2 linked regions of the Drosophila melanogaster genome follow. The protein of the gene in region 2 purifies or fractionates together with the protein of the main gene of each other region. This does not show direct contact. Each region holds a gene or a part of one and is shown on either strand. Other genes may lie near its edges.

What was found.
Region 1: the proteins of Rbsn-5 (region 2) and Past1 purify together in Drosophila melanogaster (affinity purification with western blotting, with the first as the bait; one study listed by BioGRID). This does not show direct contact.

What each region holds. Positions count from the first base shown.
Region 1 is NT_033777.3:12,695,275-12,704,438, reverse strand, and holds Past1 (putative achaete scute target 1), read right to left. Parts: upstream 7,118-9,164; 5' UTR 6,927-7,117; coding exon 6,901-6,926; intron 6,609-6,900; exon of another isoform or gene 6,329-6,608; coding exon of another isoform or gene 6,321-6,328; coding exon 5,104-6,320; intron 801-5,103; coding exon 627-800; intron 564-626; coding exon 358-563; 3' UTR 306-357; downstream 1-305. Other genes in the region: NijC (ninjurin C), read right to left, coding at 7,512-7,715, 8,140-8,316, 9,033-9,068.
Region 2 is NT_033779.5:8,157,510-8,163,391, reverse strand, and holds Rbsn-5 (Rabenosyn-5), read right to left. Parts: upstream 3,561-5,882; 5' UTR 3,301-3,560; coding exon 2,634-3,300; intron 2,576-2,633; coding exon 1,965-2,575; intron 1,900-1,964; coding exon 1,660-1,899; 3' UTR 1,592-1,659; downstream 1-1,591. Other genes in the region: Acbp1 (Acyl-CoA binding protein 1), read left to right, coding at 1,067-1,081, 1,155-1,269, 1,329-1,471; CG43394 (uncharacterized protein), read right to left, coding at 4,681-5,148, 5,213-5,375, 5,444-5,855; PAPLA1 (phosphatidic acid phospholipase A1), read left to right, coding at 3,960-4,173.

The sequences.
Region 1 (9,164 bases), on a different chromosome or scaffold from region 2:
CTTGTCTTATTCCACTAGGCTGCTACTCTACATCCTGCTTTACAATCGATTATCCAAAAATATGCTATATGCTTGTGTAAATTCTACGAATTTATGATTGATATCTCATACGGTCGGTCATACGGTGATACGGTGTGTGTTTTAATACCCAGCGCATTAATGGCGCGTTCACAACGAGTATAGTACATATAAAAGGGCAGTCGCCTGCACTGTGTGGCTAAAAGTCAAAAGAATCGAACATAGTGCATCCTAGGAGTTGGTCTCTATGCGACATCTGTGTACGGCTGTGTTTTTTTTTTTTTTTTGGGAATTGTGAGGCTGTGTGATCGGGTGTGCGTATGCGTATGCTACAGGACACTAGTCATAGCGCTTCGACGGCGGTACTAAGTGCTCCGGCAGCACGGTGGGCAGCTCGCAGCCTTCCAGCTTGACGTTGATTAAGTGCAAGGCCAGCGCGAACTCGTCAGAGTCCAGGAACCCATCGCCGTCGACGTCCGACAGTTTCCAGATCTTGCTGAGCACCGAGTTGGGCAGTTTCGATTTGATGAGTTCCTGCTTGGCAGCTGCAAGTGGCGAAGAATGGGATTATTGTTTTCGATTTTCCCCTTGAGTTATAACAAACTTACTTGCACCGGATATCTTGCCATCGACTGGTCCCAGCCCATTGAAGATGCCATCTGTGCGCGGCTTGTCCTTGTTGCAGATCCACTCGTGCTCTCCGTAGCCGGCATCGATGCCCTCGCCCTTCATGTAGCCGAATGGTGAGACATGGTCGTCGATGACTCCCTCGAAGGCACCACCTGTGGAAGAGGCGATGAATGGATGGAGAGGTCAGTGTGGCATTCGATACTCTGTGTGCGCCATAAATTTGCATTAATTAAGCATGTAATCTAAGTTGATCGGTGCGTCGCCGTGCACAAACATTCAATTTGAGGCAATTAAAACCTTTAGATCGCTCTGGCTCCAATTGACGTCGCCGCCGCCGTTCCGTGACTAGGCCGGCTGACCGACTTAAGCATGTACTTTGCCGGCTACTTTAACTGGGCAATTGTGGTGCAGTGCATTCTGGGGGGGGGCAATTGAGATGGGCGGTGCAGGTTGTAAAGTGCGATCTCAATTAACTTTTTGAAGTTGCTCAATTCGTTTGCGGTCTCTTTGCAATTGAAAAGGGCCCTCCGGGTGGCATGGCTTGGAGATCATTGAGTTCCCATTCCATTATTCTAAGTAAATCAATACTGTATATTCAATCGGTGCCACTGACTTATGGAATCAACTACTGTGCGTGTTGCTTACGGCCATATCAGTCCCTGTCCCCGTCTCCGGCTCCGCCTCATTTTCAACTTCAGGATCAGGATCTGGTTTGGTTTCTAACTCGAAGTCAGAGCCAGACTCATGCTCCAGCTCTGCCTGAGGCATAGATTGCGTTTCTGGACCGGGATCGGCATCCTTATCGCTCTCGACATTGCCCACCCGACTAGTGCAACTGCTGAACAGGCGGAGCTGCTGCTGGCGCAGATTCTGCAGCCAGCGATCGAAGCGCTCCGCGAACTGCTCCCGTTGCGAGCCGGGTGTCAGAAGAGCTGGCTCGTCGGCCACATCGAAATCGTCGTCGGAGTCCACTTGGGTATGCAAGAAATAGAGAGAAAGATGGTTGACAGTGGAGCATAGCACAACTGCTAAGTGCGGCAGTGCGACTCGGACGTGGAAATCAAACCGAGTTTAATTAGTGGGCCAATGGCGAAAACGAAAAGTACGAAGAACCAAAAGAACGGCGAACAGAAGAACTGATTTCTGCAAGATCGTGTCAGATATGTGTACAACTATTTAGCGACATACTGCTAAACATGTGATGCCGATCCCCATATTCAAGATGTGCTGGTGATGAAGTGATGGTGACGGTGGAGGCAGTGACTCAAGGCACGGTCCACATAAGTTCCATTTCGAATGGAGTGTCAATTCCATTGTCAAATCAACCGAAACTATGAAGACATCACTACCCAAAGCACTTATCTTGCTGGCTGAGCTAGCCAAGTCAATTATCCAAGACAATACAACGGAAATGCTAGCAAATGAAAGCAAACTGTGCAGCGAACGCAACGAAAATAAAATCAGAGATACAGATACAGATACATACACTCATTCACTCACTCACTCGCCCATGCACTAAATTAGAGCCCCAAGTTCTTGACTTTGATTTCGATTCGGTTCGCTTTATCAACGCATTCCGCCTCTCTTTTTCAGGGGTACAACCATCGAAATTCCTTCTGGTGTAATAATAAACGAGAAGTTCATTCACTTGTCGGGTCCAATTTAAAAGGAGGGGGCTATCGAATTTTACCCAAATCGAATGTCGAGGTGACCGAGACTGCGGATGGATGACACATGCGTTGAGATATTGATCTCCCACCCATGACATCAGTCGATCGCCAATCGTATTATGCTTGGATTTGCCCCAGCGAAACGTATTTGCTCGGCTATGTGGAATACTTTCGCACAAGGTCAGGCCAAAATACGCTAATAGTTGAATTAAAAGGCCACTCAAGTGGTCAGCAAACCAAAAGGCAAACAGTAGAGATCAGACAATAGCATTGTGGCGACTGGATTGCCACCGAGCCGTATATCATAGAGTAAAATGCTTTCTTCCTGCACTTAGCGCTAGTTCATCTGAATTCCGTGGGCCCCTTCGTGGAATTCACGAGCGGATTAGACGGAGGATGAGCCACTTAGTGCCACACGCCCCAAGTCACAATCGGAGAGCATCAAATTGATACGCGGCCTCAGGTTGCCAACGCCAGCAATACATGTACTCGTATGCGACTGCAACCGGTTCGGTTTACAGATCATATATACGTACATATGTATATAATCGCCAGAGGTGGGTTGTGGCGATGGGTTGACCAGGGATCGTCTGGGCGAACTGGGCGTGGGGATTATTCTGGGTGCTGTTTGATCAGCTGGACGACAATCTCTCCTCCTCGGAGGCAGCACATATTGGAATGTATATATACATATGTATATTTACTATTCCAATTCTAAGTTGCCTGGCATATTGGAAGATAATTATTTTCGTTCTCCTTGTCTGGCGGCTTTGTATACTGAATTAATCCAATCACACGCCTTTCCGTTGTAGTTTTATAGTGTTTCATTGGGCACAACACCATTAGCTGGCATGATAAGGAGCATTGATAAATGGCAAGAGAATGCTGACAGTGCCTTCTACTCGCACGATAAAAAAAGGTTTGTGCATGCAAAACGGATGATTACATAAATGAGCAATCAAATTAGTTACTGGCTTTCCATATAAGTTGCTTGCTCAGCAAGCAATGATCCCTAAAGCTGAATATAATTACAAGTTTTACGGTGGACAACCTTTGAGCCCCTCATAATATACATATGCACTAGTTCTGATAATTTCGGCTTTTATTGTTTGAAATATGCCAAAAATTGCACGGCCAGTAGCCGCAACTTGTTGCCTAATTACGCTAAACAGCGTAAGAGCAGATAAACAAACTAAATGAGCATACTTGATGCTTGAAATTAGAGCAGTGCTAGTAGAGGAACATGCCCAGACTTTTGTCGACTGATAAGACATGATTTGATGATGGCATGCTGACTCGGCCTTACATTGATTTTTATCTAGGGTAACGTGCAGTACGGCCAACTAGAAGTTGCCTAGCAACCCGATAAGGGTTGACAAACAGGCCACTTTGGCTCGACCCACTAACGAATGCATGGGGGAAAGCGAACAGGTGCGCGGCACTGGGCCTTGAACTCTGGGCCACGCACGAAGGTCGGAGGTCACAGTAACAGGGCGAACCGGTGGAGCAGCCAGCTTGCATCGAATCGAATTAGACTTTCAATTAGGGTTTACTTTTTTCCGACTGCAATGCGACTGGCGCCTCTAGACTCTGATTAACTGAGTTACTACTACCACCTCCTACTGCTCCTCCTCGAATGCTCAACGCTTAAATGCGATTATATTGCTGGGCGTTTTGGCTCGGCATCGAGTGCGTGGTATTCGTCATGGTTGCCTGGATGCGTCTGCTCCGGAGAGCCAGATCCGATTCAGCCTGGGTACTCGAGTGTGAAATATTTATCATGCCCAACTGTACGCCTGCTATTATTTTCTTTTTTCCCCTCTCTGATGACTCATGGCCCAATTAGAACGAACCCTGCACTGCTCCAAGCTATCGGTATTTTCCAATGATTACATCATGGCCACGAATCTTATCACGTTGCGGGGAGAAAACAGTCAACTTGGCTGAGTTCCTACCCATGACGAAAGCAAGCCGATAATTATTGACACATATGAATAGTAAAATTTTTCGGTTTGCCACGCCCCAGCCCGCCACTGGCGCCCATTTTTCAAGTACAAAGCAATTGGCTATCACATTTTGGGTAGCAGAGTATTTGCAAGAGATAGGAAAGAAAATACGTGGTTTTGTGGCGCTATTTTCTTCCACCTCGATGTTGAGTTTGCCACAGAAAGTGCGTTTGTGTGGCTGGCCTAAGCGCTAAATTGACACCGACTTTTTGCTCGCTCGTCTTATCAGTTTTCGGTGCTTATCACTTTGTTTATATAGTAGCTCAAATATGTTTCGCTCATAGTATAGGGTTTATATATAGTCGTTGCCAGGCATTGCATAATTGGCCAGTCAGCGAAAAGAGGAAGCTGTGCATGCGGGCCAAAGAAAAGCTTCGATTTTTGGATCGCTCCCACTGGCTTTGTTTTTCGCTGGCAATTTGAATTGTGATTGTAATTGTATATCCATTAAATACGTTTGGCTGCGGTCTAGCTGTAGCTGTGGCTCATACTTTGGCCGTATCCGAAGCCAAGCCGCTCACTCCGCTTGGCAAAACTCGTTTTTTTCGCATTTTGGCCCGTCTGGAAATCTGGGTTAACTGGCGCATTTTTCTAGCTGCGCATGCGCAATATTTCGGTGCGATGGGAAAGCGAAAACGCGCCAGTGAAATGCCCGCGGAAAACCAAGAGATTTCTCGAGATCTTCGCGGGCACGAGTCGGATGTCTGGTTGCCCGAGCAAGTGCAGTGTGACTAATGCGGCAAAGCGGTGCTTAATCATTCACTCTCTTGGGGACTTACCCTTGACGATTGGGTCCGCGACCATGGTCATCTCCTCCTGGGGAATCATCTCCATCAGGCGGGCAATGTCCTTGGCCAGCATGTTGTCCACGATGTCCAGCAGATGGGGCTTGAGGGAGTGGAACTTGGTGAAGTCCTGGTGCTGCAGGACCTCCTGCATCTTCTTGATGTCGGGGAAGTCGCCGGGAGAAATGGAGTGCTCGCGCTGGATGCGATCGTATACCTGGCCGAGGTTCTTAATCAAGTCCTTCTTCTTGCTGTCCTTGCCGAACACAGAGGGCATGTCCTTGCGCAGCTCGGCAATGATGAAGGCATGCACCTTGGCCAGGCGCGCCCGCTTGATCAGATCGTTCAGCTTGCGCAGGGCGGCGTTACGCGGCAGGGACTGCAGATCCCTGAACAGATCCTGTTCCTCGTCCTCGAACAGTCGGCGGTTGGCGTCGAAGCGCAGCGGCTGGTCCCAGAAGGAGCCGATGTAGACACGAGCCACCTCCGGCGTCTGCAGCACCTTGCCCAGCGACCACATCAGTGCTCCGTACACCCGCATTAACTGTTGGTGATCAATCATGTCGGCCTTGTTCAGGATAATACGGATCTTGTCGTCGTGTCCCTTGAGCGCCTCGATCGAGCGCCGGAACTCGTCGGAGATGTCCAGTTTGTGGGCGTCGAAGAGCAGGATGATGCGGTCCACGCGCTCCGCGAACCACTCCAGCACGCCGGTGAAGTCGTAGCCCCTGTCGATGCGCTGCTTTTCGCCGGAGAGAATTCCGGGCGTGTCCACGATGGAGATGGCGTTCAGCACCGGCGAGGCCACACTGCTGCATTGGAAGCGATTCAGGAAGGCGTTGCCGTACTTGGACAGCGGCCGGAACTGCTTCTTGGGGTCCACAACCAGGGCGTTGCCCGGTATCACGCCCTCCTTGTCGTCGTACATCACGGCGATGAAGCGGTCCGTCGTTGGCTCCGGACCAATTCTAATGCCCGGAAAGTCGCGTTCCAGCAGATAGCGGATGAAGGTCGTCTTGCCCGTGGAGTACTGGCCCACCAGCAGGATCATGGGCTTCGCATCGAAGTCTGGATCCTCGAGCTTTGGCGAGTGAAAGTCGTGGAACTGGTAGTGCTCCTCCAGCGGCAGCAACTTGCTCCGATAGATCTTCTTCAGCTCGCCGATCACATTCTCCACTACCTCCTGGGTGTTCTTCTCGCGCTTCAGAAAGCTAAACATGTCGCAAGACTCTAATATTAGCCACCGAAATTAAAGGGGAAATTGGATTTGGAAACGGGGGACGCGGCCGGATTCGGGTTGGTGCTGGCGCGGATGTCACGGAGGCGACGACTACGGCAGTTATGTTATGTGTCTACACTCGATTGTCGCGCTGCGCTGGGTCGTGTGGCGAGTGATTCACGCGCGTACGTATACGTATTATTTTTGGAATACGACTTTTTTCGGTCCAGATAGCGGACCAATCAACGTGACCACGCCAGAGACAACGAAGAAATACCACAGAGTCTTCGGATAAATACTGCAATATACCAAGAGCGTCAAAGAAATACCAGCCCGTCAACGGCCTTAATTTAAACTAATTAATCTAATTTTGAAATTATACTCATATTTATCGTAACTAACTAACTATTATTCCTGTACTATATTTTTCGCTTTAAAACAAATTGTCATTGACAATGAACATAAATAATCGGCGCCTATCGATAACGGTCCACATTTGCGCGGCGGTCACACTTTTCTTGCAAGCGCGAACTTATATCGAATTCAAATTGTGTAAATATAGGATTGCTCACCTGTCGCCTGCTTCTGGGCGTGGCATCTTGATTTATTAGTAAGCAAATAAAACGTTAAATTTACGGGCCTTCCAAAATATATGCAACAAACAACTGTTAAAAAGCACTAATCTTTTGTTTCTGTGATTTTACACTAAAACGCGGCTAGCATTATCACTTAATAGAAATTTGCTTTTTTTTTGGTAAAAATTTATATATACAATGTGGCAAGCAAGTGTATTTAAAACACTGAGCCTACGTCGTTCATCAAAATTTAACCTCAGCTGTGATTTCAAAAATTCAGGGCTTCAGAAGTTCCACATCTGTGTGAGGAACCGCCGGATCCAGTCCAAAATTCATCTTCATGATGTCACAAAACACGGACAGGAATATGAAGGCATCTATGAAGTGGTTGATGGCGAAGCCCCGATTTCGATCCTTGGTATTATGCATATTGATGAGGGACTGAATGACCAGCAAGAGTCCAGCAGCCACCTGTTTGCGAAGGTAAGAGAAAATGCAATGCCTTGGTATCAATACATTCATTTATTTCCCTCTACAACTTAGGTTTGCATTAGCCTTAAAGTACATATTTGTATGAATATAAGTGTAAATCGTTGGATCTCTAGATTTTACGGTGTCTTTTCGTGCTGATCGAGAAGTCGGAGCGGCTGCGATGAGTACTCTATGCCGAAACCGGATATGATAACGTTCACCACGGATATTATGAACACGACTACCAAAATGACATCGTTCAGGATGACCGCTGCCGTCTGATCCTGCTGCCTGTTTATGTTGAGACTCCCGATGACCACGAACAGAATGCCCACCAAAAGCTGTCAAAATGGGGAATGAGGAATGCATTAGAAACGGAAGCGTACAATCCCTACCATGCCCACCCTCTAGTCCTAGTTGTTTAGAAAGTCGCCCTGTGGCGGAGGCAATCGACTGTCAAAGGCCGAGATGAACAGATTGATCATGGTCGTGAAGAAGGCGAAGCCCGTGCGCACATGGTTAATGATATTGGCCGACTGATGAAACTCCGGCTGATGCAGCCGGCAATCCCGCAGCAGGCTCAGGGACAGGCTCAGCACGCCCGACAGGACCTGCACAGAGAAAAACATAACTATCAGTTCCATATTGTCATTTGGATCTAGCCAAGTTTTTCCGAGTGTGATGGATTTCATTAGGATACACATTTATGTTTTTCTCTGTGCCTGACACTTAGAGAATAAGAATCTACAGTGATTATATACTCACCTGCATGACTATGGACAGACTGATCAGGATCAGCATCAGCTTGTAGAACTGGTGCTGTTCGCCCACCTGGAGGATGTACTTCAGCTGCGAGGCATTGGCGGTCAGCAGGGCGATGTCCAGCATGCCCTGGGCGATCGTCTTCTTGGTGGCATACCTATTGGCATCCATTGCCTTCATCTAAAATATAGGGTATATATGTACATATATGAGTATTTGAATTCAGGATATAAAGTCTGCAGAACCGAAAGATACATTTTCGAGGAAAGTGGTCATGATGGCGCTGCAACAGTCACTTTAAAAGTGAATGAATCTTAAAGATCGCTTTCAAAGTAATTCCTTATCTATTGCCATTTGTGTCAGATCTTGTGCCGATAAGAAAACAGAACATCGCAGCTCCGAGTAATGAAAAATAGGCTAACATTCAGGGCAAGGGTTACAAACACAAATGTGCATAGTAAATAAAAAGCATACATCATTGAAAACTAACCTGCCAAGCATTTTTTACTGGTTTCTGTGGGGAAACAAAGGATTCAGCCATACTGCAAGGATAATTACCACAAAAGGATGCAATTCCCATAACAATTACAAAATCAATATGAGAACAAATGCTTTTCGCACAGCTCATCGCAGTTTAAAAGTGCATAAGGCCAACGAGTCGGATATACAACATTTTTGAATTGCACGAACAGTTGGAACAAAGACAATAATTACCCGGACTGGCAATTACGGATGGAATGGAAATGGGGATGTGGACACGATGGTGTGTCTCATTCGCTCGAACAAATAAATAATTCAAGACCAGGAATATATGGCTAAGATCAAGGTCGGTGGGTGCTCGGAATGTGAATACATTGGAATATCTTCAGATATGAGATATTTGTATTTTGACTTACCTCATTTTCGTTAACCCGCTGCAAACCTGATGCCATAATGAATGAATCTTTGGTTTTTCGGTTTTGCTTTCGGTTGGAGCTTTGTTTTTCGCCACACACCACTGCACTTTGGATCAGTTTTTGTGTCAGTCA
Region 2 (5,882 bases):
TTTCGATCACTTTTGACCACTTTTCACCACTCTTTTTCTGACGGTGCAAATTATTTGGTAAGAACTTTAGCGCATTTGTTATTGTTTCGTTTCGGCTTCGATTTTTACAGGCACTGCGTTGTGTTTGCCCAAATCCGCGTATTGCATCGATTTTGGTTGCGAACTGCGTATATAGCGTAGTATCCGTATCCGTGTGCTCAGCATTAACCGAAAATATCGTTAATGTAACATTTTCTCCCGGCAATTTGTGCACTTTTTGTTACTTTTAGCGGAGCACCGGACGCACGACCAACGCAGATGAAAACATTTCGAACTGAATGAGTGGTTAGCGCTACCTTCTCCTTAAATACCCACGCTCTCCCGCTCTCACAATGCGTTTATGCGGGTGTCATATCATGAAATGAGTTAAATTCATGTATTGATGATGTCTAATATGGCCACATATGCTAGAAATCAATTGTATTTTGTGTATTTAAGAAGTAGTTATATATTAAATTTCCTCTTAATATTGATACATTTTAATTACTATGTACAACTGTTCAAAACGTTGACGTACAGCACATCATTACTCCATATGTTACTAATAGAAATCATGTTTCACGCGCCATAAGCCTCTCATTTTTGTTGCCACATTTGGAGAGAGCAGGACAGTGGGCTGAAAGATGTTCAATTGAGACAATCAACATTGGAAGGTTTTTAAAATATTTCGTTAATGTCTTGAAAATCTTAACGGACTATTTTGGATATTGTTCATATTATTCCATAGCTTTTTTCAAAACACAATTGTTTTGGCAAGAAACTGTCTACCAACTGTTACACATGTTCCTAACTATCATCGTAATAATGTATCTCAGTTCTCAATATGAAATTAGACTTCGAATCTTTTAAGTGTATAGGCTGCCAGACCCGCGAAATAAAACGCAACAGCTTGTCCACTCTAAATTGAAAAACTGTTGGTCACACAAAAGTATAGACCAGATATCGATAGACGCCGATAGATTCGGTGAAGTAAAATCGTGCAATTTCTTTTCCAAAGACTTCCACTAGTTAAAAAATAGATACAAAAATGTCCGAATTGCAGGTGAACTGAATCTACGTCAAATACGCATTCGTATCTTAAAGTCTGATTACCTATTCAAACTTAACCTAAACAGGAATTCAACCAGGCGGCCGAAGATGTTAAGAACCTAAACACCACACCCGGGGACAATGACCTTTTGGAGCTCTACAGCTTGTACAAACAGGCCACTGTGGGGGATTGCAATACAGGTGGGTCTCGGACATAGTCGTCACTCCGCTGCACCATCGATAATTCTAATCCAATGCAGATAAGCCCGGCTTTCTGGACTTCAAGGGCAAGGCCAAGTGGGAGGCGTGGAACAACCGCAAGGGAATGAGCAATACCGACGCCCAGGCCGCCTACATTACCAAGGTCAAGGCACTGATCGCTGCCGTTGGCCTGAAGTCATAGACTCAATCGAAATAGGATGTTGCATTTTATAGTCTCAGTTGTCGTCAAACGCACAAACTTTGATTTACAGAAACTTCGCACAAACTAAAATTTTTCGCACAATATACACCACAAATTCGTAACGTAACGTAAGCCATGTAATTTGTCATAGAGGGAATGAATATACATTTAACTATGTAGGATACTGCTTAGGCCTCTGTGGGTGAGGCGGCGGTGCTTCCCTGGGACTGGCGCTGTCGCTCGTACACTTCGCGCTGTAGCTCGCGAAGATTTAGCTCCAGCGTCTCCACCACCTCAAAGTTCATGTCCTGGCGAGCCTGTTTGATGTAGCCCTTAATGATGTTTATCTGCTCGATCAGCGGATCGTCCAGGCTGGACTTGCTAGCCGCCTGCGGTGCTGACCAGTTGTTCAGAGATTGAAGATCAGACTGTGAAGCAAATGGAATCACAGAGGTTACATATTGATCTTTGCAGAGAGTCCTCGTCTACATACCCCTTGGGCAAAGGATCCGCTTTCCGGACCAGGAACTCCAACGTTGGATTGGTTAGCTGCCATGTTATTTCGTTCGTAGGCTTCCATGGCCATGCGCTGTTCGGTGAGGATACGCTGCTCCGTTTCCATGCGTCTACGCTCCTGCATCTGGCGTATGTGCGATTCCTCTGGCAGTGGGGGCAGCGATAACATTCGCTCCTTGATGGCTTGGATGCAGCCCAACCGAATGGCCTTCTTTAATGCCTCCTCCCGGCTGCCTGGTTCACAAAATATGGCTAGAATGCGCTTGCTCCTCATGTCCATGGCCTCTGCCACTTGTCCAATCTTGCCGCGCAAAGCACCTGCATCCGCCAACGTGAAGATTGTGTCCCCTTCGTTCAAGCTATTGATGATCTTTAGATACATGTCCAGATCCGGGGTAACTTCTTTTTGTAGTTGACGAATTTGTTCGTAGACCTGGACGAGGAGTGGGCGACAAGTGCGACTTTCGTGCATATCCTTTCGGGTGTCCAGCAGCCAAAGGCAGTGTTCGCACAGCCGGATGGCGTTCTCATGCTGATGCAGCTGCTGAAGGGGCTCGCTTCTTGTGGTGGAAAGACTGGCTAGTTGCACTGCGGGATTATAATCAAATAAGTTACATTATTTTCCTCAATTATTGGATCTACAAACTGGCATCTTCCAGGGGCAGGAACTTGGAGCAATCATTGCACATTATGCCTCCGCACAAACGGCAGTGGTGTTGTCTTCGGGCGATGTGGAAACTCTTGGCACAACTGGGACACAACTTGACGGAACTACCATCCAGCCAGGCAACTGTTTGCTGTTCATGCTGACGCCGCTGCACTGAATCCGCTGGCAGATCCTTAAGCAGGCGGTGCAAACGAATGATTAGTTTGTTTGTTTCGCTGGCATATCGCTCCAGGCGAGGATTGCGAATGGACTGAAAGTACTCGAAGTGGGAGCACTCAGCACCAGGCTGCTGCCTGGCCATATAGTTAAATACATTTAGACGGGAGCGGGCATTACTGGGTCCATTGCGATCTCCGTTGCCATTGGGATTCTTGCCAGCCGCTGAAGAGGAGGAACCTGCGGGCGACGATACAGATGCACCTTTTTCATCCTCAAAGGGGTTTAGGATCTTCTTTTTCGCCTTGGTAAAGATATCTTTAAAGGATTTTAGGGCATCCTCCTCTTCCGCATGCTGGCGGGCAAAATGATCCGTGAGCACATCGATGGACTTGAGATCCGCACGGCAAATGGGACATAGGAAGCCCTCTAGTATCTCTCCACTGGCCGAGCTTTGATCTTCGTCGCTGTCGAAAGGATTTCCAGACATTCCGGCGATGAGTAATCGTAGTTAATTCGGTGGGTGTTATTTGTTGTGGTCTCCTCCCCAAAAAAAATTGACCCTAAGGTTTTCCACTTGTTTTAAAACAGTGGCATGACGGGGCTTACGGCACTTGTAGTCCTAAACTCGATTAATACGGTCAGAGTTTCTACAAATCCATTAATTTTATTTAAAAACTAATATTTGCAGAAATCATCAAGATTTATCTACTTCACTCTTCTTCTTCCCAAATTGCAATTCGAAATAATATCCGAGAATTAGGGCTGCAGCAAAAGCAATATTTGGCTATTTTTGCTGTTTATTTGGATTTTTGAAAATTTGTTTATGGTAGTCACGGAGATTTCATACTCTTTCCCAGTTAAAACTAGCTAGGAATATATATGTTATAAGCATATTTTGATTACCAGCTTTTGCCTATCCATTTCTGGATCCGCTGCAGCCCTGGTAAAAGCTTTCCATGGCGAATGGCCAATGCGCGGAAAGAAGCAGAATATTGCCTGCCTGGAAGTTTTCTCGGGTTTAACGCTTTTAATCCGTCGTGGGTGTCAATATCCTGTGTATAAAAATAATTCCTAAGGCAACTGTGCACTTGGCACACATCTTCATATCGAGTTAGCCCAATTTAAAGCTCCAGATCGGCCGCTAATATGTCGGAAAGATCGAAAGGTGACGTGTCCGCTCGCGTAAACAACAACGCAAACCAGACGCGTGTCGTTAAAAATCCGCTTCTGAGCGCCTCCGTGACCGGCCTGAGTTTCGACGACTTCCCCAACAAGCCGCAGCTCCTGCCAGCCGCCCCGCCCGTGGTCCATGCCACGCCTCCAGCGGCGCCCGTCCTCATCGCTGGCATCTTGAATCGCGGTAAGTGGGTCACCGTACGTTCGTGAATCTAACGCGGAGTGGGGGTCACCTGTTGCTCGGCTGCTATAATGATAAGCTGATAAGCCTGGCAAGGCACTTGACCTTCTTACCCTCTTCATAAACTGGGGTTGACTTTATCACGGATCAAGTTAATATAAACTACTTTCAGTGTATAGAGGAATGGGTCAGGTCAGCACTTATTTTGGCTTAAACAAATATGTATACCTACTACTAGCTGAACAAATATATAGATATATTATAATAGTTTTCCTAAATAAGACATTAGTTAAGTCCATTTAATCGTTTGAAATCACCGACATTGTTTATACTACTTTTTTTAAGTTGCACTTCGTTTCAGTAGTTTATGCAGGGACAAACAATTGTATCCTAAATATTTGCATACATTTAGTAAAACGGTGCCATATTGTATATCTGGTACTTCTATGGCATTTTATTAGACTTCGAGACCACATAGGTTCTAACTTGGCACAATAACATAACAACAATCTACTCCATGCTCCTAGTGGAGTGGGATCTATATGTGGGCAGCTCCAGCGTTGTCTTCCTCCGTCTGCAACACCACACAATGCTCCATATGAGGGCTGCAATAAGCAGGATCAGGAGAATGACTCCAAGGCAAATGGCTGCAATGGCGGCCTCGTTCAAATACACATCTCTGACATCGATGGTGAGGCTTCTCTGGTTCCCGGCCGCATCGAAAGCGATGAGTGATACCTTTGGTTCGCAGCAAGAGGCCATGTAGGTTGCCTTCAGGGGCTCTGTGCTACCAGCAGTATAATAGTTTCTGTAGAAAAGACCCTCTGGCGGCGAGGCCTGCAAACGCATCATGCCTGACTGCCAGTCCTGAGCGGTCACATCCACAGTCCAAAAACGTTCACCACAATTCTGGGATTCGGGCGTCAGGTAATCACAGCGGCTGCCAAACTCCCAGGATAGTGTAGGTCCAGTTGAGTCCTGGAAATTATATTTAAACATTTCAATTATGCTTTCATAATCAGGTTATCGGCTGTTCACATACCTGAGCATCTATGCTAGTCACCACTTTAAGATTTACCGCCAGAGTAGATGTTTCGCGACCGTAATTGGTGAAGGTAATCCGGTCTGTGGTGCCCTGAGCTGTGCCAGTGGGCACCAGAACAGTCAGACGCACTGTAGCCGTCTCCTGGGCGCGCAGGCTTAATCTACAAAGGCAGAAGTACGTAAGATATATAATGTGTAAACCAAAGACTTCGCTCTTAAGCGCTCCAACCTGGTAGGATTCAGTTGAACCAAGAAGCGCCGCTCGTCGGTGACTTGAATGGTGGAGTAAACCGTTTCCGTTTTCATGTTGGTGACCTCAAAGAGTAGCGTAGCTGTTTGACCAGCCATCACCAGCAGTTTCGATTCAATGCCCAACTCAATTTTTGTGCCACATCGCTGGAGAAGCATGGCATTTAGGGTGCTTCTCGACTGCCCAGTGCTGGGAGCTAAAAGCGTTTGATTCAGATTAGGAGAACTTTGGATTTCCTGCTCCGAAAAGGTTTCGATTTCGTTCTTCGGGGAGTCCACATCTTCCTCTAGCTTTTCCGTGTCCTTTTCCTTGTCGGGAAACTGAAGTTTGGCTGATTTGGCCTTTGTTTGTCCGGTTTTGTAGTAGCTGTCGATGCGTTTGATGATGTCGCCTGTGAGGGAAATAGAAAACAATTTCT